Oryzias latipes: one gene and its partners. The protein of the gene in region 1 purifies or fractionates together with the protein of each later gene. This does not show direct contact. Links are inferred from orthologs where the notes say so. Each region holds a gene or a part of one and is shown on either strand. Other genes may lie near its edges.

Region 1 (6,410 bases):
AAACAAAACAAATAATAAAATCATTCAGCAAAACCGATACTTCTCATTTTACGCTCACTGCAGATTGGCTTAATCAGGTTTTGAAATTTGATTTTTTCCCATTTTATCCAGCTTTTTTCTTGATTGCCTCCACCGCTCTCCTTCGTTTTAGGTTTGTGTAGAACAGTGCAAAATTGATAACATACGTTGACACACAAACCATGCAGAAATCTCCCAAAACAAAGGCCAAAATAGATGCAAGATAGAGTGAGCCAGCCAGAGACACCCAGGAGGAGAGGACCAAGGCCAGCGCTGCCTTTTTAGACAGAGATAGTCCTGCAAAAAAACAAAAATTTATTTGACTTATCTTAACTTAAACTGTGTTAAACTAAAAGATGTCCACTGTAATTTTACTATGGTTCACTTACCGAGACCCAGCTGCAGAGTGTAAAATATGATGCCAAGGATGCTGTTGGGCTGGTTTAACAGACTATCTGTGCCCACAAAGTACTGGACCAAACCAAAACCACGTCCCCATCTGCCAGGGAGAAATTAAAACATGGAATCCAATTCCGGAAAATGTTACAAAAATCGTAAAAGTTTTCTTTGCATGAAAAAAAATTAAAAATAGTTGTCAAAGTAAAGGGCACGTCATGTTGGAAATATGTGAAATAACTTTGTGAGACATGCTATGGAGTCCATGCCATGGAGTCAGGGACACAACAAAATATTTACTTAAAATAATAGTTTTATGACCACGAATTAATATTTGATGACCAAGACTAAGGATTTTATGGGCACAGATGACTCATTAGTACCCACAAATTACTAGTGTGGGCACAAAACTGGCTAATCTGTGCCCTTTAAAATATTCACGTCTAAACAAAATATTATTTTGTGTCCACAACATGCTAATAAAATACCAACTTTTGGCCACAAAAAACAATTTTTAGCCACAAAATGCTAATCTGTGCCCATACAATGATAATTAATGGACACAAAATGCAAATGAAATGCTAATTCGTGCACACAAAATACTAAATTGTGGCCACAAAATGCTTATATGTGTGCACAGATATATGCCCACAAACGGCTAATAAAATACAAATTTGTAACCACAAAATACAAATTTATGTGGACAAAAAAATTTATGTGTTTTAAACAAAACACTAATTTGTACCACAAACTACTAATTTGTGTCCAAAAATACTAAACTGTTTTTTGCAAAATGCTAATTTGTGCACACAAAAAGTGTGAATCAATTTACTTTTTATTTTATTGTATGTCACATCCAGGCTTCCATACCCTCAATGGGAATTTCTAACACGTGGCAATGCTGGGGGGTGGAGAGAATCCACTGAAGTTAATGCAGGTTTTCAGCTTGTTAGGGGAAAAAGTTTGGAGTTGGCGCAGTTACTGCCGCTACCAGAAGGAAGAATGAAGTCATACCTAGAGGTGAAAACTTTGGAGCAGCTGACAGCCTCCCCCAGGTCGCACATCGCCCTGTAATCTGGGTCTCTCTCACGGGACAGCTCGACGTGGAGGGCATACACGGATAAAACCAAGCCGAAGAAACACAGAAAAACGCGCGCCTTCCTCTCCCATGCCGGCATAGCCTGATTTGCAGCCATGTGGACAAGTCTGGACAAATATGGATCACTATGAAAGTTTAGGAAATAAATGCCAAGATCAGCTTTAACAGTCTTTCCTCTCTTGTCCTTTGCATGGAGGCTCTGTTAGGAAACAGTCTCTTCTGATTGGACTCGGGAACTTTTTAAGGTTTCCTGTCATTGGATGTTTGGGTCCAGATGTTGAACCTCACATATGGTCGTTAAAGTTTGTTTACTACGGCCTTCAGCCTGTGCAGCTTTCTGGAAAAAAAGAAAGAGAAAAAAAGTTGCTGTGCGCATGCAAGCTGTACAGCTTTATAGAGAGATGTATAATAATAATTACAAATGAATAAAATAAATCTTTTTTTTAAAATAAAACTTCGTTCCATGATTTGCGTAAGTCTGTATATATGCATTTATATTTACTTTAATATTGTTTTTTTCCTTTTAGTAAATAATACTTAAAAAATCAAAAAAACAGCTAATTGCTGCTTTGTGAACGTGTTATAAAAACACAACATTTTAGCATGTTTTTTTCTTTGTAAATGACTAAACGAATAAAAATACAGTAAATACGTCATGTTTCGTTTTCTAAACTCAGTTCGTGGAAATAATAAAGATATAAACAAAGACAATCTTTGTCTTCTTAAACCCCGCCCTAAATTTTCTACGCAATTTCATTGGACAATTTCTTCAACGTTCTCTCATCTCATTGGTTCTTCGCTTTGCACTCAAAAGGAATAAGGAAGCGATTGAGGAAGCTCCACACAAGGTATTTTGAGGCTTCTCCGACTTTAAACATAATTATTATTGTAAAAACGTCTTAGAATATACAAATATGACATGCATTTTAGAAACGCTCGCGTGTAGTTTACATTCAAGCTTCATTACAACAAGAAAAAAGACCGTTTCGAGGCATTAATCAAAAGAAAAGACAGGTTCAGGTAGCAGTTAGGTTACGCCCCTGCGTCACAAAAAGTGGGTAAGGCTACGGTCATATATCTTTGTTTGTTGTTGGCAACACAGAATGTCAATTGCTGTGTTTTGAAGCTACCGTTAGGCCGATTTGATCGCTAACTAATCTGTCTCAGGACCTTTCACTAAAGGTAGGGGGTTCGTCCAGTTTACTGCTGGGCCTCACGGTCTGTTAGCACTGTTTGGATTCTTTATGTTCATGACATTCGTTTGCTTTGTGTCAAACAATATTGTTCTATTTACGCAGAAAACAAGGCTTCTTTCTGTAATTGGTCAGGGACAGGATATTACATACATTGTGGCTTGATTACTATTGTTGTTTTAACAGTCCGATTTCTCTTTTTAATTGTTCTATTTCAGACTGGGTTACTCTCAGAAAAAATACTTTTGGTGTTTCTTCAAAGTTCTTTTGATTCCATTTATTGATCATTTTGATCAAAACCTGTTTCATTTGCACATAACTATTTATTTAAGATATTTACAACATTTTGATCAAAACATGTTATTTCAAAATAAAGCTTAAATATTACGGTAGAGAATTTTTTGAAGATGTATGATAAAGTTGAATTTTTTTGTGTCTATACTCATTTAGGCCACCCAGTAATCCAAGCTGACATTGTTTTAACAGGTTTCTGGTGTGACATTTCAGCCCTGGGATTTCATGTGGGAAGTATAGATGTCAGTTCTTTGTTAATTCTTGGAAACTAACTTCATGAAAAGCAGTAAAGTGACAGAGAGAAAAACTCACAGTAATGTAGATGAAAGTCTTTTAAAAAGGGCTGCACGATTTAGAAAAAAAAACATGCAATGTGTGATATTAGTGATCAATATTGAAGTGATGATTGAACTTGCGATACATGAACAAAAACAAAACAAAAAATATTTCATTTCTATTGGAATAGTTTCAATAGAAGTCTACATTAAGTGTAAACCAAAGGACCCACATCAACAAAAAAGGGGTCCATCCGATTGGTCAAATGCGTAAAGGTTAAAACCGTCAAGCTGCCATAGGATGGTTTTTGCATGTGTGTTAACATTTAAGGTAACCATAAATTGCATAATTGCTGATATTGTGATGCAGAAAAATATGGGATTTATTGTGCAGGCCCACTTTTAACAGTTTTTTTTCTTTTTCTTCTAATCTTTCCAGAAAATGGCTACAAAAAATGCTGTGGCTGGAAAAATTGAGTCCAACATGGCTTCACCTGAAAGAATGGCCACGGAAAAGGGCAGAGAAGCCCAGAACCAACAAGGAGTGGAAGACGCCGACACCAGCACGACGGCAAAGAACCTGGCGTTGCTGAAAGCACACTCTCTCGATGTGAAGTTTGACGTTGGGGAGGAATATGATATCATAGAAACCATTGGTACCGGGGCATATGGAGTCGTTTCATCTGCCAGAAGACGGGACAATGGTAGTTACTGTCTGCCACACATTCTGAATACATGAAGAAATTGAATACGAGCTGCTCCTCACTCTCACTGCTCATCCCTCCGTGTCTTTCACATACACAGGCCAGCAGGTGGCAATAAAGAAAATCTCCAACGCTTTTGAGGTGGTGACAAATGCCAAACGCACCTTAAGAGAGCTTAAGATTCTCAAACATTTCAAACATGACAACATTATCGCCATCAAAGACATCCTCCAGCCAAATCTTCCTCACTCAGCCTTCAAGTCTGTGTATGTATACGTGTCCTTTTGGCTCATAAAAAACAATTTTCCATTTTAAAATGTTTTCTATGGATGAAATTGCACATAAAATGGGAATCTTTTAAAAACTTACATTTATTGTATGTGTGTGCCTTTAAGTTTTGCTCTAGACAGATTTAACCACTTTTATCTCTATTAGTTAAGTTAGTTAAGAGTATTTCAGTATTTTTAGAGGTCACTTCAAATGCTTTGAGGAGAATCTGTTGTCTTACCTCTTTACTTGCTGTGTGTCCAGGTATGTGGTGCTGGACCTCATGGAGAGTGACCTTCATCAGATCATCCACTCCACCCAAACACTAACCCCCGAGCACACGCGCTACTTTCTCTACCAGCTCCTCCGTGGCCTCAAGTACGTGCACTCTGCCAACGTCATCCACCGCGACCTCAAACCCTCCAACCTGCTGGTGAATGAAAACTGTGAGCTGAAAATCGGGGACTTTGGCATGGCCAGGGGGCTAAGTTCCCACCCCGAGGAGTCGTACTCCTTCATGACCGAGTATGTGGCAACTCGATGGTACCGCGCTCCTGAGCTGCTCCTCTCTCTGAACCATTACAGTCTGGCTATTGACCTGTGGTCTGTGGGCTGCATCTTTGCGGAAATGTTGGGCCGAAAGCAGCTTTTTCCTGGGAAACACTACGTCCACCAGCTTCAGCTCATTTTAAGTGTGTTGGGCACACCTCCTGAGGGTTTAATAAGCGCTATAAGGGCTGAAAGAGTGCGCTCCTATGTTCAGAGCCTTCCATCACGAACTGCTGTGCCTTTGTCCAAACTGTACCCACAAGCTGAACCAGATGCCCTGGACTTGCTGGGGGCCATGTTGCGCTTCGATCCCCGCCAACGAATCGGTGTGACGGAGGCACTCGAGCACCCATACTTGGCGAAATACCACGACCCGGATGACGAGCCTATATGCGTTCCAGCTTTTGACTTTGAATTTGATAAGATTGCAATGAGCAAGGAACAAATCAAAGATGCCATTTTAATGGAAATCCAGGACTTTCATAAAAAGAAACAAAGCTGCCGTCAGAAGCTGCAATTCAAGCCATTGCCGAGAGGGAACAAGGGAGCCGCTGCGCAAAGTAATAACCAGAGTAATGCTCCAACTGCTGACAATCTGACCGAATCCTCACTGCTTCCAATGGTACCAAGAGCACAACAGATACAGCAGCAGCAAAACCATCCAGCAGAAGCAAACCAAGCATTTGCTGATCAGATCAAAGCCTTTGACAAGTCTGCAGCCCTTTTAGATGTCACCAGGACATGCGTGACCCACAATTTATCGCTTCTCAGTAAAACTGAAAGTGGCCCAGTTGACGTGGATATGCCCAGTGCCAACTCTGACAGCGGCCAGCCGGAGACGATAGATTTAACGACCCCAGTGTCTAGTCAGGGTGCTTCATCGGAAGCGATGAGAGACCGTGAAGTTCATGAGTATTTAATGAACACTCAGGCTCAGTCAGCGGCCCAGGCTCCCACCACTGCACCGCCACGGAGGACGGCACCCATACCCGCCTCTGCCCACTCCCTGTCTCTGTCTGTGGCACAGGCCCACTCACTCTCTCAGTCCCTTTCACAGTCACTTGGCAAGAACTCGAGGAGTTCTCAACCTGCAGCAGAGGGAACCAGGAAAGAGGGCGCCATTTCAGAGGACACCAAAAATGCCCTTAAGGCAGTTTTATTAAAGTCTGCCATCAGACAAAAAGCCAGGAGTGGTAAGCTCAATATTTATCATTCCTTGTTTTTTTTGGCTTGCATTTCTGTGCATTCTCTGATCTGTTCTTTGCAGATGGAGGAGCCTCGGCCATCGGTATTGACTGCGGTGCAGGAGGAGGCGCCTCATCCTCCCTGTCCTCTGTTCTAGAGTCCCGTCGGTCTGTCACAGCCCAGGAGCGTCAGCGGGAAAGAGAGGAGAAAAGAAAGAAGAGGCAGGAACGAGCAAGAGAGAGGGAGAAAAAAATGAAAGAAAAGGAAAGACGGGAGGGAAAACAGGGGGACTCTTTGGGTGGGGTGTTGCTGAGTGACAACGACAAGAGCTTGTTGCAGCGCTGGACGAGGATGATGGACAGCCGCTGCGACAAATCTCAAACTCCTAACAACGATGGATGCAAGAACAAGGATTGTAACGAGAGTTCTC
Region 2 (6,322 bases), on another chromosome or scaffold:
ATTCTCCTCAGCTGCCCCGACTACCGCGGGAGCGGTATGCTGCTGTAACAGCCGCGCAGGAGAACCGCGGTTTGCTTCGCGTTTGAGACCCCTGCTGTAGACTCTGGCACTGGTACACTAGCCGCAGGTCGGAAGAACGAATCAATAGTTCGCTTGCTCATAGCTCAGACGCACATATGAGGTTGTGGTGATATTTGTCTCCGTTTCCTTCCCACAGATGTTTACGCGCACTGGATTATCTCTAGGCCCCGCCCCCTCCACATATTTTTGCCACTTGCAGTGACTTTCCCCATTTTTCTCACACGCATTGGCCGCCTCAGGCATCATTCAATGACACGCGAGTGTGCACTGGCGTGTGCTCCAGTCTCATGAGTATTCGCGCGAGTGTGTGTGTGTGTGTGTGTGTGTCTGTCAGCGTGTGTGTGCGCTTGCGTCTCATTGATGATTTCATTGCTCATTTCATCGATCATTGACATGCCCCTTCCACGTTTAATGTATAAAAATACGGAGGCTGGTGGAGGCAAATTTACTGGTAGCACATGTGCGACTGGATGTAAAATTCAGTCGCACACTCTCAAATTTTGGTCGCAAAATGCGACCAAATGGTCTGGAGCCCTGTGGACCGATGCCCTTCCTGACACAACTCTGTATTTTCAAAGCACAGAGAGTCCCAGATAAGCACTAGCCTAAGGACCCCCACTAGATTTTTGCTCATTGCACGTCCTGGGAAGCAAACCCAGGTTTATTATATGACAGTCCATCACCCACCCAACTGAGCTACCCACCTACTACATTTAGTAGCTCCGTCATATGTATATAAAAGCAGTTCATGTGTGCTGTACAATTCTTGCATTACCTAAGTTTTTTCTGAGACAGGTTGAGCTCCATGTATTTATATTTCTGGTACTGTTCGTCCAGCCTCCTCAGGACGGTGTCTGCCGTCTCATTGCCTGGCTGCTTCATAAAAAAGTCGACATCCTCCTGTGAACCAGAGTTTAAAGAGAGAATTCTGACAAATTTATTTGACCATTGGCGAAGTCCAAATGTTGGACGTTTATTGATCTTTTAAAAAACAAAAAAAAAAACCCCACAAAAAAGCCATAAAGATCATGGCTTTAAACGTCAGAGTAACATTCTTTATCAATTATTTCTCCATTATTAGAGGTGTTTTTTTCCCTTAAGTTGATTGGAAATTTTTTCAAACACCAATGCAATTTAGGAACTTAACAATAATATATATCTTAAAAAAAGCTTGGGGAGAATTAACACGAAAAACAAAATACAAACTTAAGACGATAACATATACTACGACTTGGGAGGTTTACACATAAAAATATTGAAAAAGTATAGTTTAATAATAATCATAGTAATAGCAATATTAAATGTATTAAACTACTATAAGCTAAATTTGATTTAATAGGCTCCGTGCACGAAAGTAAGGAGTTCTACTTCCGCCGCCTTGAGTGTGAGGCCGACCATTTCCGGCTTGCGACTTCTATAGCAGCGACACGGCAGATTTTGATTGCGAAAGATGGCATATTTCACCCGTTTTCTACAAGGTCTCCCGAAAATCGACGTGAACGACATCTACAGGATTGTCGACCAGTGCATGGTTACATGGGCAAAATATCGTGTCTAAAATATATAGTGTCGAAAATACCGAAAGGAAATGCGTCCCGTTAGACAAACCTGTGCTGTCACATATTTATGCAGCAGCTCGGTAATATACGAGGCGATCTTCCAAACGTGCTTTTATTAAATTTTATGAATATTATGAAGTGCCTGTTCGCTCATCATTTTATATTTAATCCTTGTTGTCAGTGCTTTTTTTGTGGAAGAAGAACAGAACTGAAGAACAACCCAGTGTTAGGATAGGCTAACAACACGGGCTAACAACATTAGCCTTTTGATGGAGACAAAATCCAGGACAAACCATGTGGGAACCGCTGCAATCTGCATCCTGGCTGCACGTAAATGATCAGCCTTTATTTGTCTGGGCACAATTAGAAACACAATTCCATGTGTCGTGATTTTTTTGAACAGTTTCTAAGGACTGAGCGGCATTTCTGCTCTGAAAAGCTCACACACACTGTGTGCTCTGCTCTGTCCTCGCGAGTCCGGCAGCCGCTAACCCAGAGCGGCGGTTCGGCTTGCAGTCCGAATTCTCACACATAACAAAACGCACACGTAACAAAGCACCCTCCCCTCAAACACATTAATAAATCCGGCTGCTCTGCTCAGAGAGGTTCACTCGGTCCACTGGCACCGGAGCCCGAACGCAGAGCTCGGATGCTGGGTCCAGACCTCAGTGGACACGCATCCCCCCCGCATGTCCTTCGTGAGGGGTGAAAGAGAGGGGAGAGCCAGCGGGGCGAGAGCGGAGCGGCGCTTTACGCGAGGCGTCCGCAGAGCCGCTGGTCGGTCCCGCATGAGCTCACTAGCTTTCTCTCAGCGAAACACCGTCTATGCGTGACGTAACCCAGAGCAGCAGTGACACACGATCGGAATGACCGTTTACATGAACAACGATCGGTATATCCAGCTATCTCGATCGGAAAGAAATTTCGATCCGAACGAGTCTGACCGGGGCAAAGTATTCTGATCGGCGTGTTTACATGACGCATTTTCTTTCCGATTGCTGCAAATACGAAACACGACTCGTCTTGCTTGGGGTGAAGTCCTCCCGCCGTGTTCACCATCCATTCGGCTCTCGCCGACACATATACTGGAAAGCTAAGAAAGCTTATATTAGTACTGTTGTACTTTGACAAATTCGAACACGGGTACACAACAATGTTGTGATGTCTTTTTCACGCGTTGAAACAACAAACGCCTTTCTTTTACCCGAAATCCGCTCCTATTTACTCAAAACTAGCAACTCAACAAAACTCCACACAACAATAACACGACCAACAGGAAGTTGTCGGCCTCACACTCGAAACACGGAAGTTAACCGGAAGTTCTATCGTGCACGTAGGCTATTATTGACTTAAGCTTATTGTTTTAAATATTGACTGGTTCTATTTAAACCCCCAACTATCCCTGAATATTACTTTTTTTTTTTTACAAGACTACAAAACAATAAAAAAATCTATATAAAAACTAGTCACTTCTTTCCATTTAATTGCATCGATATCAAAATGCAAACACTTACATTAGCGATTGAAACACAACACAACAAGAATGGTAAATATAAATGAAAAAAGCTCACGACATTTTAGTTATTTCCAATTATTAATCAATTGCTTGTCTAATTATGGACAATACACTTAGTCGAGAAAATGTATGAAACGTATCCGCAGGTAATATAGGGTTCGTGTTTAATATTGTTTGCGAAGAAAGAAAAAGAAAAAAGCAGAAGTTAAAAAAGCCTGCACACGCAGCCCAAAGTTTCCACCCGGCCGGTGATGACCATAAATGGAAGCTGGCAGCCGCCCAGCATGCACACAGAGCGGATAATCTGTTAGCTTCTATATGCTACCAAGCTAGCACGAGGCGCCTAGCCAATAGCTGTGACCAAAAACGTATAACAGGCACCAAATATCGATAGATAAAAAAACTAAACTTTACACACCAAAAACACTGCTTCAGGGATGCCGAGGTGCTTTTTCTTTGTCGCCTGTGAAGCATTGCTGGGATCTATGGTCGCCGCCATGTTGAAGATAGAATCCTCTTTCCTGACATTCAAGCATGCGCACAAGGCGTCTCAGAAAAGGAAGGGGATTTGCTGCCTCCATCGGTCAGAATGGATAGCTGCACTAAACCGCTGCCATGGCTTGACTGTCAGAGAAATAAAAAGTAAAAGACTAACTGCAACATAAAGAACAAACCTTTTAAATTGTTAATACACATTTCAAATCAGCGCAAAATCAGCTCATGATATATAATATATATGATATAAAAATCAACTAAACGTTTCACAAAGTTATGAGACCTAAAACATGACCAAAGAACAGGACAAAAGTCTGCACAAAATCAGTGCTTCATGTTAGTCAAAGGGAAAACAACTTTAGACTTATTTTTCCTCTCTGAAATGTGAAAATATTTTAAAAATATTCCTGAGCATAAAACATATTTGATTAGAAAAGTTTCCACAACTAATGTAATTAATCCATCTTAATCATAATGTTTGGTGATTTATATTAATAATAATAATAATAATGGATTGGATTTATCTGCGCTTTTCAAGTCACTCAAAGCGCTTACATTGTGGCCATTATTCATTCACTCCTCGTTCATACTTGGTGATGGTAAGCTACTGTTGTAGCCACAGCTGCCCTGGGGCAGACTGACAGAGGCGTGGCTGCCAGTTCGCGCCTACGGCCCCTCTGACCATCACCAGGACATTCATGCACATCCACACACCAGTGGAGCCACACTGGAGGCAAGGAGGGTGAAGTGTCTTGCCCAAGGACACAACGACAGTTGGCTGGGGGGAGCAGGGATCGAACCGCCGACCCTTCGATCATTGGACGACCCGCTCAACCACCTGAGCCACAGCCCCTCAGATTGATATCATATTGTCATTGATATCAAATGTGTCACAAAATGGGCAGGTGCCTGGTTCCAATTGCAGCAGGTTTTATTAGCACAGCTAAAAGTTCACAAATCTAAATCAGGGTCAGGCAGGCAGGGGTCGATAACGAGCATGGGGGCATCAGAGAAGAAACTGGAGTAATCAGGATCAACCTTAAAGTCAAATCCACCCCTTAACGTCTCTGCCAATGGGTAATAATTGTTTATAATCTTGAATTGCATTTCTTAAATCTCGGAGTATGGGCCATTTTATGAATTTCCATTGTTGAGCACCCAATAAGACAGGTGCCTCAGTTACCTAATATTTAACTTTACTATTATAGTAATGGCATGATTTACCTTTAAGGGATTTGTTTGTACCTTTATTATCACATTTTTCTTCCGTAAATTTTGTTTCACCTATTACTAAATTTGGTAATTTTACTTGAACACTGGAAAACAACATTTTAGTGTTTATTACATGTACTAAAGCAATTGGAATTGCTTTCTGAAATTCCTTAATTAATTCTGAAATTCCTTAATTGAAAATTCAATATCATATTTGCTTTTGAAATTGCTTAATTGAAGAATGTCTCCTTTCGATTCAAGAATAACTCTACAAAAATGATCTTGTTGTCAAACCAATTCTGATTAAACATTGTTTTCCTGTTTGTGATAATTACTCTGTTGTTTCATAGGGTGACGTAGTGAGGGGTAACATTATGGCTAAATATTATTTTTAAATGGAAAAGTACTTGTTTGTGAAATCCTGATTGTCTGTAGAGGAAGTTTGGAGATTTCAAAGTCACATCTCAACAAAAAAGTCTAACCCACCTACTTTTTCGAATATGTTTTTTTGAAAATGAAACTATATTGAGTCAGGATTAGCTACAAAGTATTTTAATCATTTTATTCTAAAAGTTCCAACCATTGATTCAAAATCAATTGTCTCCCGAATTATATTCCTTTACTACCTGACATTTTCTCATGTAATGGATCTTATTTCTCTAAATAAATTGGTAAATAATTGAGTTCATTTTTTTGACATTCTTTGGGTTAATGTAAAGAGATTTGCATAGATATATTGAATTTGAAATTCCTTTTGATTTGGACTCCAAGTTTCTTCCAAAAATTGTTAAATCTCTGATCAACCAATGATTTAATGATTTCTACATTTGATACATTGAGAAGATTTCTTTTTCCAGACAAGAGTACAGGGGTAGTAATTCACATTTTTGTAAATTTAGTCGAAGGCCAGAAGCTTTGGAGAGAAAGGAAATAATTTGTAGGTCTTTAGTCACCATGTTTTTGTCCTTCAGAAAAAAGAATGTGTATTTTGCAAACTGCCTAAGACGGAACTCATAATCAAAAAATTTAATGTCTTATTAATTAGGATTGTTTAGAATTAGATATGCTTGGAGTTGAGTACATAAAATCAATCAAAATTATTCTACAGAATCAAAGGCTTTAAAATAGTCAATAAAGAAAATGAGACTTTCTGTTTCCAGCACAGATTGATACAACATATCCAGAATCAATCTAACATTATTATGTATGTTTCCTTCTTTTATAAAGGCAAATTGAAAATTATCCACTACTTTGTATATAACTTTCTTTATCCTGTTCACATAAACCTGTCACGGTGCCTGGCAGTCTCCTCCCCCCTCCAGCTCTGCTCTGATGTTCCTTATTGCCACCAGCTGCCATCACTCACCTCATCATCTTCTGTGGATTCAAAAGGAGACCCAACGCCACTACTCAACGCCAGTTTGTTACCCCTTATGGTGACTGTCCTGGTTCTAAGCTT
Region 3 (6,104 bases), on another chromosome or scaffold:
TTCAGTTTGATTTCCTACAACACCCACCTGTCAAGCCACATTTTATTCAAGCCCTTTCATTCTGCAGTATTTTGCCATTTGTCAGCAAAGTTATAATAGAAATTGCCAGGGAAAAAAAAGGAAGAAATGTGCAAAATGTATTGAAATTGATGATGACAAGACTTGGAATCTGTGAACACAATGTCCTGATTGTTGCGTAAAGCCTGCACACTGAGGTGGGAGTTGGATTTGGATTGTGCTCTTATGACTGCATGCAAAGGCTGCAGCTGAGAGACTTCAATCCAACTCTTCATGAAGTTCCAACGCAAAACAGCCTACAAGCTTTTATCAGCAGCTCCATTCTGACAAAAGACCTATTGATTTTATGGTAGAAGTAGCAGCAGATCAAATAAAACTCATGAGGTTTGGAGGAATTTGATGCCACAATTGCTCCGCGCAGAATTGAGATTTGTCCCTCCGATGTGGTAAATATTTGATCTTAGGTGCAGTTCTGTTTGCTGCCCAAACATGCACACAGCAGCAGTTCCGGATGTTATAGTATCAGCTTTGGCAGGCTTGTAGGTTATGTTTTCAGCATTTGTCTGTGATTATAAAAAGCTTAAGCAGAATGAGTAACGTTTAAATCTTGTAACGTGGGTTATCTGAAACCAGCTGCGTGATCGAAAGGCAAAAACAGACAGAAAGCTCTGCCAAAACCACGGAGGATTTCCTCTGATGCTGTAAGAGAGGGAAAAAATAAGATGAAGCGCTTTTGCAGATGATAAAACAACCGAAAAGTTCTGCTAAACAGGTACAACTAGTTAGTTTCTAAGATCAGCTGAAACTACGGCTGTTTTCACTATGTAGAGGATATTTCAAATGGCTGAGAAAACAATACTGTAAAACCAATAAAAACGTTACAGTTTTGTTAAAAACGAATCATTTAAAGCAGGTCTTCACAATGGGAGACCTGTAAGGAAGCCATTTGTTAAACTCTGCTGCACAACCCTTTTGTTGACATAAAATGACTTCTGTTAATGACAACAAGTCTATTTTTCTTCTCTTTATGAACAAACGGCTGCAGTTTTTGAGAGGTACTTTCTGCACGTTGAAAAAGATTAAACCTTCTTCAAAAAAAGGTGTTTTTGGTGTTTTTAACGTTTTCTTCTGGCATTTTTCGGATGACGGAGGTTATAAAGAAAGTCACATTTCTGAACAGTTGTTGATTCAAATGGTTGTGAACCAGAAGAAGAAGAAGTCTTGATGAGCTGGCATCTGACTCAAAACTGTACGGCTGTAGGTTGGGGGCGTGAGGGGCTGTAAGCTACCAGGAGAGCAGGTAAACCGAAAGCTCTATACAACTATGAAAGGAAGGAGCCCCACCCACAACTCAAAAGCAAATTTCTAATGAATTCCTGCTGCTCTGCAGACACTATGTTCTACACTATGACACAGTTTTTTTTTTGGTTATTCTTATTTTAGCTAAAACTGCACGAACATAATTGAAAACCACATGGGAACACTGTTAAAATGGATCCAAAGATGATCAGAGTCAGTCTTTAAAATTGCACAACGTCGTAGTCTTCCTTGAGCATTTTTACCTGTTTGATTTGGGTCAATGTACAATTGAGAAGAGCCATTGCTTGGTTGTCTCGGTTTTTTTGTTTGTTACCATTTGTGTTATTTGCCTCTTCTGTTATAGAAGTGTCAGAAGAAGTGCTGTAGCCTTTAACTTTAACATGTTGGCCTTTGATTTTTTTTCTAATCTTTATATAAGAGCTGCACTGTGGTGTAGTGATTAGCACTGTTTTCTCCCAGCCCTGGTTTGAATCCCAGCTGGGTCCTTTCTGAGTTGGTGTGGTCTCCTTGTGCACACTGACTTCCTCCCACAGTTGACAAACATGCTTCATAGGTTAATTGTTACTCTGAATTGTCCCTGGATGGGAATGTGGGGTTGGTTAGCCCTGCAACAGACTAGTTACCTGTCCAGGGTGTACCCCCGCCTTCAACCAGTGGTGGCTGGGACAGGCTCAAGCAACCTCTGGTTCCCAAAGCAAGTTTAAAAGGCAGATGGGTGAATTTTCTATGTCAGAAAAAAAACAACTTCACCAATTTCTTTCTGTGCTTAATTTAATTTAATTTGTTTTAATTTGTTTTAATTTAATTTAATTTAATTTAATTTAATTTAATTTAATTTAATTTAATTTAATTTAATTTAATTTAATTTAATTTAATTTAATTTAATTTAATTTAATTCTGCATGGTCACATGTGCCACCATTAGATGGTGTATTACTGAGAAGCACTTTTAAAACAAAGAAATACTTTTCCAAACTCAAATCTTTTTTGTCTTGCTCATTTAAACACATTTATTTCGTGTCAAGCTCCTGTTGGCGTTAGAAGGCGTTCAGTGGGTTGTGTAGTAATAACCATCCAAGCCGCTAGGTGGCGGTGTCGCTTAACCTCTCTGTGCAGCAGCAGCGTCTGTTTCCCGTCGAAGAAGGCACGATGGCAGCAGCCACCATGAAGGCAACAGCAGTAAGTGCCTTTTTCAAACAAATATTCTGTTTTCTTCCTTTGATGATGCTTTTTTTTAATTTTAGTTATAGAAACTGTTCAAACAAGAGGTTCTGCTTTCAAAGTAAAAGAGTCACTTGCGTGTGCTAGTTTTGTTTTAAAGCGGCGGTTTAGAAACGTGCAGCGTTAGCTAGCTAACTCTAATGAATCAGAAATGTAACTGCTAGCTCTGACATTTACGACAATTATAAAATAGTAACAATTAAAGAGGTGGCACAACGACACACACATGATAGTTAACTTGTCAAGCTAACTCTATCTAAAGCTTTTGAGGTAGTCTCTGTAACGTGCAGTGTTTACTTTTTTCAGGGCGTTGAAGACATCGTGGTCACCTTTGAAGACCAGCAGAAGATCAACAAATTTGCCAGGAACACGAGCCGGATCAAGGAGCTAAAAAACGAAATCGAGGCAAACAAAGTAGGTAGAGGAGAAATCCTACAACTGTGTTGACCTACAGGTTGAACAAAATATAGAAAAGTAACTAGAATTTACCCTAAAAACTGCAGGTGGATAGACGAATTTAAAGTCACTGCCTTTATTTATTATCATTGAGTGATGCTTTATTATGAAAGAACTTTTCTCTCCAGAATCGTAATGTTATGTACAAATGTTGGCGAGGCATTTTGAAACACAGCTGGATAAGCACCAGTTGACGTGTTTTGTTGTTGCTTTCGCTCATCTTTAACAGCCGCTTGATGTCTCCTCTTAGAAAACTCTGCAGAACCTGCAGGACGCCAGTGATGACATCATGATGCTGGATGACGACACCATGCTCATCCCGTACCAGATCGGTGGCGTTTTTGTCAGCCACTCGCAGGAAGAAACGCAAAAGATGCTGGAGTCTGCAAAGGTCAGCCTGAAATGATTGACACTTTGTTTGACACAATTAGCAGTCAGACAGACGCAGATGTGCAGTTTAAAAAAAGAAGACAACTTTAACTTTTTTTTGTCTTTTTAAAGATTAGAGCAAAACAATAGATTTCTGTTTATTAGACTGCTGACCAAGCAGCAGAGAAACAAGGTGACTTACTCAGACTGGATTTCACTTCTATCACATTGAGGTCTGTGACTACTTTAGTCTTAAAAGGTCAATAAAATATTAAGCAATTTTGCAGAAGTTCCTTGCTTCAGATATACTTTAACTTTAACCTTCAGATATACTTTAACCAAAAAAGTGGATCCACCTGGATTAATTTTAAATCACAACAATGCTATATATATATATATATATATATATATATATATATATATATATATATATATATATATATATATATATATATATATATATATATATATATATATATATTTGGGGGATATATATATTTGGGGGATTGTTTTTACAGGTATTTTTGTGAGCAGCAAGCAGACGATATTCAAAACCTTTTAAGAAGACAATTTGATCTTGCACGCATTTACTGGGAAGATTTGTCGTTGATTTACATGATCCAAAAATGTTACAGTGTGAGAACGAGTGGCCGTTAAATTCCCTAGGTTTATAGACGGACTCGCAGAAGTTAATAGAGAACTGATTTCTTCTGGCAGAGGAAGTAGAGTAGAGCTGTTTTAAGAGCACACCTTCCAAAACAACCATTACCATCTGTAAAAAGTTGCTGTTTTACTCCTTTTGTCCAAATCAGTTTGCAATCTACGCCAAGATTGAAGATTGATTAAAAAACAAAAAAGAATAAAGCTCAGGTGTAGTTCACAAGGTGGCCACTAGGTGGCCCCCTTGCCCCCTCTACTTGAACTTCTCTACAGGAACAAACACATTTTTTTTTTATCCCAAAACCTGACAAGGATCCTAGACTTATAGACAACAGAAGACCTATCACCTTAAGAAATTCAGACTACAAATTATTACCGTACATTTTCGCTTCTCGTCTCAAGACCGGACTCTCAGGACTTATTGCGGAAACACAATCTGGTTCTCTGAAGGGCCGTTCAATTCATAATAATATAAGACTGGTTATGGACATCATTGAATACCGACACCTTATAAAAGATAATGGTTTTATTCTCTTTCTGGATTTTTACAAGGCCTTTGATTCAGTGGAGCATCCGTTTATAATGACAGCACTGGAAAATTTGGGTTTTGGTACTAAATTTAGAAACCTAATCTATGGTCTATATCAGAATATCAATAGCTGTGTTATCCTTCCTAATGGCACCACCCCAAGTTTCAAAGTTGATGTAGGGATCCCTCAAGGTTGTCCCATCTCTCCGTATCTGTTCTTATTAGCCACTGAAATGTTGGCAATTTATATTAAGAATTGTAGTGAAATCAAAAAGTTAAATGTCTTGGGCACAGAGATCATTATTAGCCAGCTAGCAGACGCCACAACACTGTTTTTAAAAGATGAGCATCAAATTAAAGCAGCTATTGAAAAAGTAAAACACTTTTCCAAAGCATCAGGGTTAAACTTACATTTAAAGAAATGTGAACTGTTGGCTATTCATGACACACCTTTAAAAGAAATCAATCATATCCCCATTAAATCAGAAGTTAAATACTTGGGCATCTATATCAACAAAGACCAAAAAATAAGGCAATCAAGGAATGTGGGTGAAAAACTTAATGAATGTAAGACGAGGTTGAATATGTGGCTCCAAAGAGATATTTCGCTGTTGGGTCGGATCTATCTGACAAAGATGGAGGGTTTGTCTATATCAGTGTTTTTCAACTAGTGTGCCGTGGGAAATTGTCCTCATTAACTGATCTAAAAACATTTTCCATCTCCAGGATTTCAGCTCTCTGTTCATTCATACAGGCCCTGATAAAACACTGAGGAGTTAGGAATATAAAAGATCATAAAATACTTTTTCTTTGCGTTTATTTTATTTTATTAAACACATTTGATAAGAATGACTGTACAGTACCGCGATTCAGCTGCAGCTCCGGCTGTATTTTGGAAAAGTCCCGCCCCTTTGACTGTCTCCACCAATCATTCTTGGGGAGCTTAATCACATGTCATCAGTTTGACCAATCAGAAGTGGTTAAAGTCTTCACTTCCTTGTCCCGATTTAGCTCGTAAAGTCGCTCAGCTCTAACAAAAATACCAGCTAAAGCTCGTCTTTAGCGGTGTAACTTTCCACAGAATCCGGTATCAGACCGTGGAACAAGTGAACAAAACAATGAAGCTCAGAAAAGCGATCTCCACCGGCCGTTTAATGCACTACATCTCCCATGATGCATTGGGTTGTGAAGGTGACAGCGCACAAGGAGATCTGTTGTTAGTCTTGAAAACAACGAACACACTTCAAACTTTTTTTAAATCTTCTAACTTAACTTTTATTGCATCTTTTAGAAAAAAACAGCTGCAGTTTCCAGCTTTTTCTGTAACAATTATCTCAAAAATGCATGTGAGATTGTGGAGGGGCTGTAGATCAATACAGACTATGACTTTCTCTTTTTTTTTTAATTTTTGGATGCTGGTGTGCCGCAGGATTTTTTTTAAGGTTAAAGTGTGCCGTGGCTCAGAAAAGGTTGAAAAACACTGGTCTAGATGTATTATTCCATCTTACTCTAATGCCATCCCAAACAAAATG
Region 4 (6,190 bases), on another chromosome or scaffold:
AATTTGATTTTTAAACGTCACATTTCCTCCTCTCGTTCTTTAATTTCTAAGTTTTCTTCAGTTTATGGGAGACTTGTTTGTTGTTTCTGTTTTTTAGCCCCTTCATTTTGGGTAACCTGTGGGATGTGACTGATAGAGACATTGACCGCTTCACCAAAGCCCTGCTGGAGTCCTGGTTATCTGCGGGGTCGGGCGCATCTATCCTGGAGTTCATGGCTTCATCACGTCAGGCCACAAACCTGAAATACCTGATAGGGGCTGCACCTGTGGTCTACGGCCTTCCAGTTCACCTGCAGTAGGACTGAGGCTGCAAAGAGGAAGTGACATTATGGAGTCATTTCTTTTGAAGAAATGTTTGACTTTTACTAATGTATGACTTGTATTTAACTCAGCTTTTCTATTTTTAACTATTTTTAATATTGAAAATGATTCCAATAGGTTTGTACAAATGTTTTTAGCAAATGATTTGCTTTTTTGAATAAATGTCTTCATGCATATTTTGCTTGTTTTCCAGAGGTTATTAAGACTCCAAAAACTAGTATTAACACTGTGGGAGCAAACTTGATTCTCTGAAACTTTCTTTATAATTCACTTTGGGATTAATACAGCATAAGACTAGCTGATCTGGAGCAGGGAAGATTGGGTCTACTTGACCTTGTTGATCAGATTTAGGGAGAGATTAGTTTAATTTTCGAACTACATTTCGAGTTCCGGCTTTAAAAGTTGTTTGAAAACTGGTTGTTATTGTTTAACACCTGAGTGACGCAAAGGACCATCATGCTACCCAATTTGCCTTCATATGCACATCTGAGGTGACGACAAATAAAAACTTTAGTGTAAGAGCTTGAAAAAACAAAGTTTAAGGAAGACTTGCTGTAAACATTCTGAAATGGCTCTGCATCAATGTTGTCTACATTTGTAGATTTTTTCTCTACTTTGTGTTACTTGAATATTGACAAATCTAATTTTTAATCTGCCTATGAAAAAGGAAGCAGGACGTCCTGAAAAAGAGGGGAAAAGTCTTAATTTGGTTCTTTTGAGTTTTGGTAGAATTTGCCGTTTTTGTCTATGAATAAGAGTATAAACTACGCTTCAAACCTCAGGTAGCCTACCTTAAGATTTAATTCCTAAATCCAAACTTCAAAGCGGGTGATGGCATAAAGAAAGTAGTGTCAATTTTGTCTAGAAAATACTAGGTCATTAATCTGCATGTTTCAATATTGAATAAATATTAAGCAAAAATAGAAAGTTCAAATATTTGTCACAAACACACAGTATGACATGCAGCCAAATGCTTCGTGTAACTGATATGCAAACTAGAACAAGTATGGGCCCCTATACTTGACCCACAGACTGCATGGCAGTTGTTCAACCTGCAGATGTAATTGACTAAATTAAAAACCAGATTATTGTACGTTTCCATGGTCTCTTATCGTAATTTTAATCTTCTTTCTCTTTTGGCTTTTCCCATCAGGGGTCGCCACAGCGAATCATCCTTTTCCACCTCACTCTATCATGAACATCTTCTACCCTAACGTTAGCCAACTTCATGTCCTCTGTTAAGACATCCATGTATCTCCTCTTTGGCCGTCCTCTTGCCCTCCGGCCAGGCAGCTCCATCTCCAACATCCTTCTACCAATATATCCACTATCCCTCCTCTGAACATGTCCAAACCATCTCAGTCTGGCTTCTCTGACTTTGTCGCTAACACAGGCAACATGAGCCGTCCCTCTGATGTACTCGTTCCTTATCCTGTCTAACCTGGTCACTCCTAAGGAGAACCTCAACATCTTCATCTCCGCTACCTCCATCTCAGCCTCTTGTCTCTGTCTCACTGCTACCGTCTCTAACCCATAGAGCAGAGCTGGTCTCACCACTGTCTTGTACACCTTTCCTTTGAGTCTTGCTGGCACTCTTCTGTCACACAACACTCCTGACACTTTCCTCCAACTGCTCCAACCTGCCTGCACTCGCCTCTTCACCTCTTTTCCACACTCCCCATCACACTGAACTGTTGACCCCAAGTACTTAAACTCCTGCACCTTCTTCACCTCAGCCCTCTGTAACCTAACGCTTCTACCTTGATCCCTCTCATTCAGACACATGTATTCTGTCTTACTACGACTGACCTTCATGCTTATCGTAATTTTAATATTCTGCAGAAAAAAACCCATTCAATTTCAATCAAAGAAACTGTTATGCAGAGTCTGCGTTAGAAAATAGTCATATAAACTAGAGCTAGTCAACATATTTAAAAAGGAAGTTTTCTTCTTTCCTTTTATTTATTTATTTTTTGCATTTCATTTTAAATCATATTTACTTTGAAACAGCTTTCATGTTCTAATAAACCGGAAAATATGTCAACCGGAAGTACATCTCGCAACCGGAAGAAGAATCCGTCTTTTGTCACCACGCTTCCAACATGGCGGTGAATCTCACAGACCTCTCTCTGCCGCAGTTAGAAGGACTCAAAGGCCAGCTGGACCAGGTAAAATGCGTGAGTTTAGACTGAATATGTGACCGCTGCTTCTTCATGAAGGCGTCTACGCTAAAGGCGGGAATGAGAGCAGCGCAGCGGCCGCGGAGGGTCATGATGTTTCCCCGCAGGGGCGTGGAGTTTCAGGTGCTGCTCGGTTGTAAAGAAGGGTTTTTGAGTTGACAGAGAAAAAACCGACAATAGTTTATTTTACAATTTGTCCTTAGACTTTATAGGATTTAATTGATACATAGACAGGATGGGTAGCGACCTTCAAGAGTTAAGAGAAATGAGTCACAGTTTGAACTTGCCTGGCCTTATCATTATATTATTTACATTTTTTTGTTAAATTTTGAATCAGGCTTATTGTTGTCATTCAACCAATACACCCGCTATGAGTGACAAAGCAGCTGAGTTTTTACAATGCACACATCCGGGGGAAAAAACGTACCTAACGGTACAGAAGTGAACTGAACCGAACCTGCTGTACTGAAACGCTTCGGTTCAACTACGTTTATTCTTACACCCCTAGAACATATAATACCCTTATTGATAAGGCATTCTGGCGTTGGGAATTATTATAAATTCTAATGAATTCAAGAAATGCAACAGAATCTATCCTGGTGAAGTAGTCACAGGTGTGCAGTTTAGTGTAGTTTACCTCTATGTGGCAGATGTCAGTGCTAAACATCTACAAAATTAATCAAATAACAACATCACTCACTGAAGTAAATTGTTGTAGCATTTCAGGATATGACTATGTTAATGAAAAACTACCTAAATTATTGAACACAATCGTGCTGGAAAGAAAAATTGCACAAAAGCACGACTGAAACCGTTACCAAAAAGCCTGTGTGCGATCATTTCCAGCTGAGCGCCGTCCAGACCGCGCTTGGTGGCCGAAAGAAACTGCCAGCTCAACATTTCTGCAAACTGTGGCCACGGGGCAGCAGGAGTGTTGGCATAACTTGGTCATTTCCAGGATCTGCTTTTGCAACCTCAGTTTCTCAGCTTTACTATCAGTTTTGTTTCACAATGCAACAAAACATCACACTTATGCGTCAATAAAAAACTGGAAACATTCGTTTTCTAAAACTAGTGAATGGTGGTGTATCTGAGTACATAGATGGAACTCCTCTGGGGTGTTTCTTTTAATTTTTTTTAATTGCTTTTTTGAAATTCATGCTGTGTTTTTTTTCCCAGGAAGTTGAATTCTTGACTTCTTCAATTGGCCAGTTCAAAGTTGTGCAGACCAAGTATGTTGAAGCAAAAGACAGTTTAAATGTACTGACCGAAAACAACAAAGGTATGTAAAATGTCCCTTACTGGTAATTTGTTTGATCATTAATGTTTTAAAAAATGTTTTATAGTTTTACTTCTAACTTTGCTTAGGATGGCACCTCTTTTAACCGTCACACCACGTGCGCATAGATCAGTGTTTTCACACCTTTTTTGAGCCACGGCACACTTTAACCTTGACAAAAATCCTGTGGCACACCAGCATCCAAAAATAAAAATAAAACTCCTAGTCTGTTTTGATCTACAGCCCCTCTGCAATCTCACATGCATTGTTGTGATCATTGTGGCAGAAAAAGCTGGAAGCTGCAGCTGGTTTTCTAAAAGATGTAATAAAAGTTAAGTTAGAAGATTTAAAAACTGTTTGGTGTGTGTTCGTTGTGGTTTCAAGACGTCAAAGGAAGACTCATTGTACACTGATACGCTGCCACTTTAACCCAATGCATCATGGGAGATGTAGTGTCAACAGCCGGCAAACGCCAGACAGACTGGCGTCTTGGAGCTTCATGGTTTTGTTCCCTTGTTCCACGGTCTGACACCGGATTCTGTGGAAAGCTACACCGCTAAAGACGAGCTTTAGCTGGTATTTTTGTTGGAACTGAGAGACTTTATGAGCAGAAATGGAACAAGGAAGTGAAGACTTTAACCACTTCTGATTGGTCAGACTGATGACGTATGATTAAGACTCCAAGAATGATTGGCGGAGACAGTTAAAGGGGCGGGACTTTTCAGAAAACAGTTAATACTGCAGCTAAATCACGGTACCGTCATTCTTATTTAAAAGTCTTTAATATAATCAAATAAACACAAAGAAAAAAGTATTTTACGACACCTTTTGCTTTGATTCCTGCTTTGCACACTCTTGGCATTCTCTTGATGAGCTTCAAGGTGACAGTGATGTTACGGAGCGAAATAACAAGAATAAACAAATACGTATCGTACACACATCCTAAATCCTAAGCTCCAAGTCGTGTTTTAAGCCCTTGACGTCAAATGTCAAGTCAGTGCATGTGAGGCTGAAGTGTCACTCAAGTCCCAGGTCCAAGTCTCCGACTGTCCTTCAGTCTTGGAGGCTACAGAATGTCTAATATATACAGATGGTTGAATTTAACAACTTTCCCTCTTTCTTCCATACAGGAAAAGAATTACTCGTCCCCCTCACCAGTTCTGTATCCTTTATCCATCTAACTATTTTTAGTCTTTTGTAGTCATTTACAAAGTCTATAGTTGTCATGAAAAGGTTTATTTATATAATAAGTTCCACAAATTAGATAAACTCCAACAAACCGTTTTCATTTGCTGTGCATCTGTAAACAGCTTGTTTCTATTGACCTTAAGCAGAGCTGCTGAACAGATGTACGTCCCCGGCACATTAAACGACGTGGAGCACGTGTTGGTGGATGTGGGAACGGGATATTATGTGGAAAAGGTAAAAGTGGAAGCACTTTGAAACTTGAACTTCATAAACAGTCAGTAGACTGTAAATCTTACTGTTTCTGTTCCCAGAATGTGAAAGATTCAAAAGAATTCTTCAAGCGCAAAATAGACTTCCTCACCAAGCAGATAGAGAAAATTCAGCCAACTCTCCAGGAAAAACACGGCATGAAACAAGGTAGGCCATTCTCACGCATGATATAGGGCTGGGAATTATTCTTATTTTTGTTGTATATCATCTTATTACTTTATGGAAGACAAAAATAACATTTAATGAGGCGCTAATGTGACTGAAGTGATAGTTTTATAGTCGGGACAAACTATAGTTATTTCATTATCCTCAGATTTAATGAAGCATCTGTTGCAGCAAAGAAAGTTTTTTCTTTTTAAATATATTTTTGTCCCTTTGGCATCCGGGTTTAATATGTTGGTTTTCCCTCTTGCAGCTGTGATTGAAGTGATGAACATGAAGCTGCAGCAGCTGCAGAGTCAGCAAGGATCACAGGCGGTTGGGACCAGCAAGGCTTAATGAGAGCAACACTTTCTGCATTTTTAACTCCACCCACAAAAACTCTACCGATACTGTTGTGTTGCTTTGGTCAGTCGGATCATTAAAGTGCTCACTATAACTTAAACAAACGTTTGACTTTGTTTTTTTAGAACGTACCGATAATCCCTACATTTTTTTTTATTGACAAGATGTTTAAATATATCTTATATTTCAGTTTTAACTGATTTGCTTGTTATAACAGGCTTTTTAGTGGACATGCAAGTTAATAAATGTTGTCATTAGAATTTCTAAGTTGATATAGTTTTCAAGAGCAGTACAGCAAATATATCATCTGAAGCTTTTTTTTTTTTTGCCTACTTAAATCTTTTTACAAGCAACCTCTGCTACAGAGACCTGATGGCTGCATCAGCTAAAGCAGTTCTGTCAGAAAACTGAGGCATGGCTCTAAAGAGGATGGCTCCTTTGCCTTTTT

Evidence for each region. Proteins that work in one complex are often made in the same cells at the same time.
Region 2: the proteins of mitogen-activated protein kinase 7 (region 1) and vbp1 purify together in Homo sapiens (affinity purification with mass spectrometry; 3 studies listed by BioGRID and IntAct, with this or other methods). This does not show direct contact. The link is inferred for Oryzias latipes from reciprocal best matches to the Homo sapiens genes MAPK7 and VBP1.
Region 3: the proteins of mitogen-activated protein kinase 7 (region 1) and pfdn4 purify together in Homo sapiens (affinity purification with mass spectrometry; 3 studies listed by BioGRID and IntAct, with this or other methods). This does not show direct contact. The link is inferred for Oryzias latipes from reciprocal best matches to the Homo sapiens genes MAPK7 and PFDN4.
Region 4: the proteins of mitogen-activated protein kinase 7 (region 1) and pfdn5 purify together in Homo sapiens (affinity purification with mass spectrometry; 3 studies listed by BioGRID and IntAct, with this or other methods). This does not show direct contact. The link is inferred for Oryzias latipes from reciprocal best matches to the Homo sapiens genes MAPK7 and PFDN5.

Annotation. Positions count from the first base shown.
Region 1 is NC_019877.2:8,010,331-8,016,740, forward strand, and holds the start of mitogen-activated protein kinase 7, read left to right. Parts: upstream 1-2,277; 5' UTR 2,278-2,361; intron 2,362-2,384; exon of another isoform or gene 2,385-2,571; intron 2,572-2,584; exon of another isoform or gene 2,585-2,695; intron 2,696-3,192; exon of another isoform or gene 3,193-3,242; intron 3,243-3,714; 5' UTR 3,715-3,717; coding exon 3,718-3,979; intron 3,980-4,079; coding exon 4,080-4,245; intron 4,246-4,510; coding exon 4,511-5,988; intron 5,989-6,062; coding exon 6,063-6,410. Other genes in the region: vkorc1 (vitamin K epoxide reductase complex subunit 1), read right to left, coding at 104-315, 408-517, 1,429-1,610. UniProt on the Homo sapiens protein: Plays a role in various cellular processes such as proliferation, differentiation and cell survival. The upstream activator of MAPK7 is the MAPK kinase MAP2K5.
Region 2 is NC_019876.2:19,821,650-19,827,971, forward strand, and holds the start of vbp1 (prefoldin subunit 3), read right to left. Parts: upstream 3,702-6,322; 5' UTR 3,656-3,701; coding exon 3,575-3,655; intron 982-3,574; coding exon 857-981; intron 1-856. UniProt on the Homo sapiens protein: Binds specifically to cytosolic chaperonin (c-CPN) and transfers target proteins to it. Binds to nascent polypeptide chain and promotes folding in an environment in which there are many competing pathways for nonnative proteins.
Region 3 is NC_019865.2:24,676,646-24,682,749, reverse strand, and holds the start of pfdn4 (prefoldin subunit 4), read left to right. Parts: upstream 1-2,403; 5' UTR 2,404-2,486; coding exon 2,487-2,516; intron 2,517-2,864; coding exon 2,865-2,972; intron 2,973-3,264; coding exon 3,265-3,405; intron 3,406-6,104. UniProt on the Homo sapiens protein: Binds specifically to cytosolic chaperonin (c-CPN) and transfers target proteins to it. Binds to nascent polypeptide chain and promotes folding in an environment in which there are many competing pathways for nonnative proteins.
Region 4 is NC_019863.2:4,451,198-4,457,387, forward strand, and holds the start of pfdn5 (prefoldin subunit 5), read left to right. Parts: upstream 1-2,489; 5' UTR 2,490-2,534; coding exon 2,535-2,624; intron 2,625-3,680; coding exon 3,681-3,783; intron 3,784-4,910; coding exon 4,911-4,942; intron 4,943-5,127; coding exon 5,128-5,202; intron 5,203-5,279; coding exon 5,280-5,385; intron 5,386-5,653; coding exon 5,654-5,736; 3' UTR 5,737-6,190. Other genes in the region: espl1 (separin), read left to right, coding at 98-299. UniProt on the Homo sapiens protein: Binds specifically to cytosolic chaperonin (c-CPN) and transfers target proteins to it. Binds to nascent polypeptide chain and promotes folding in an environment in which there are many competing pathways for nonnative proteins.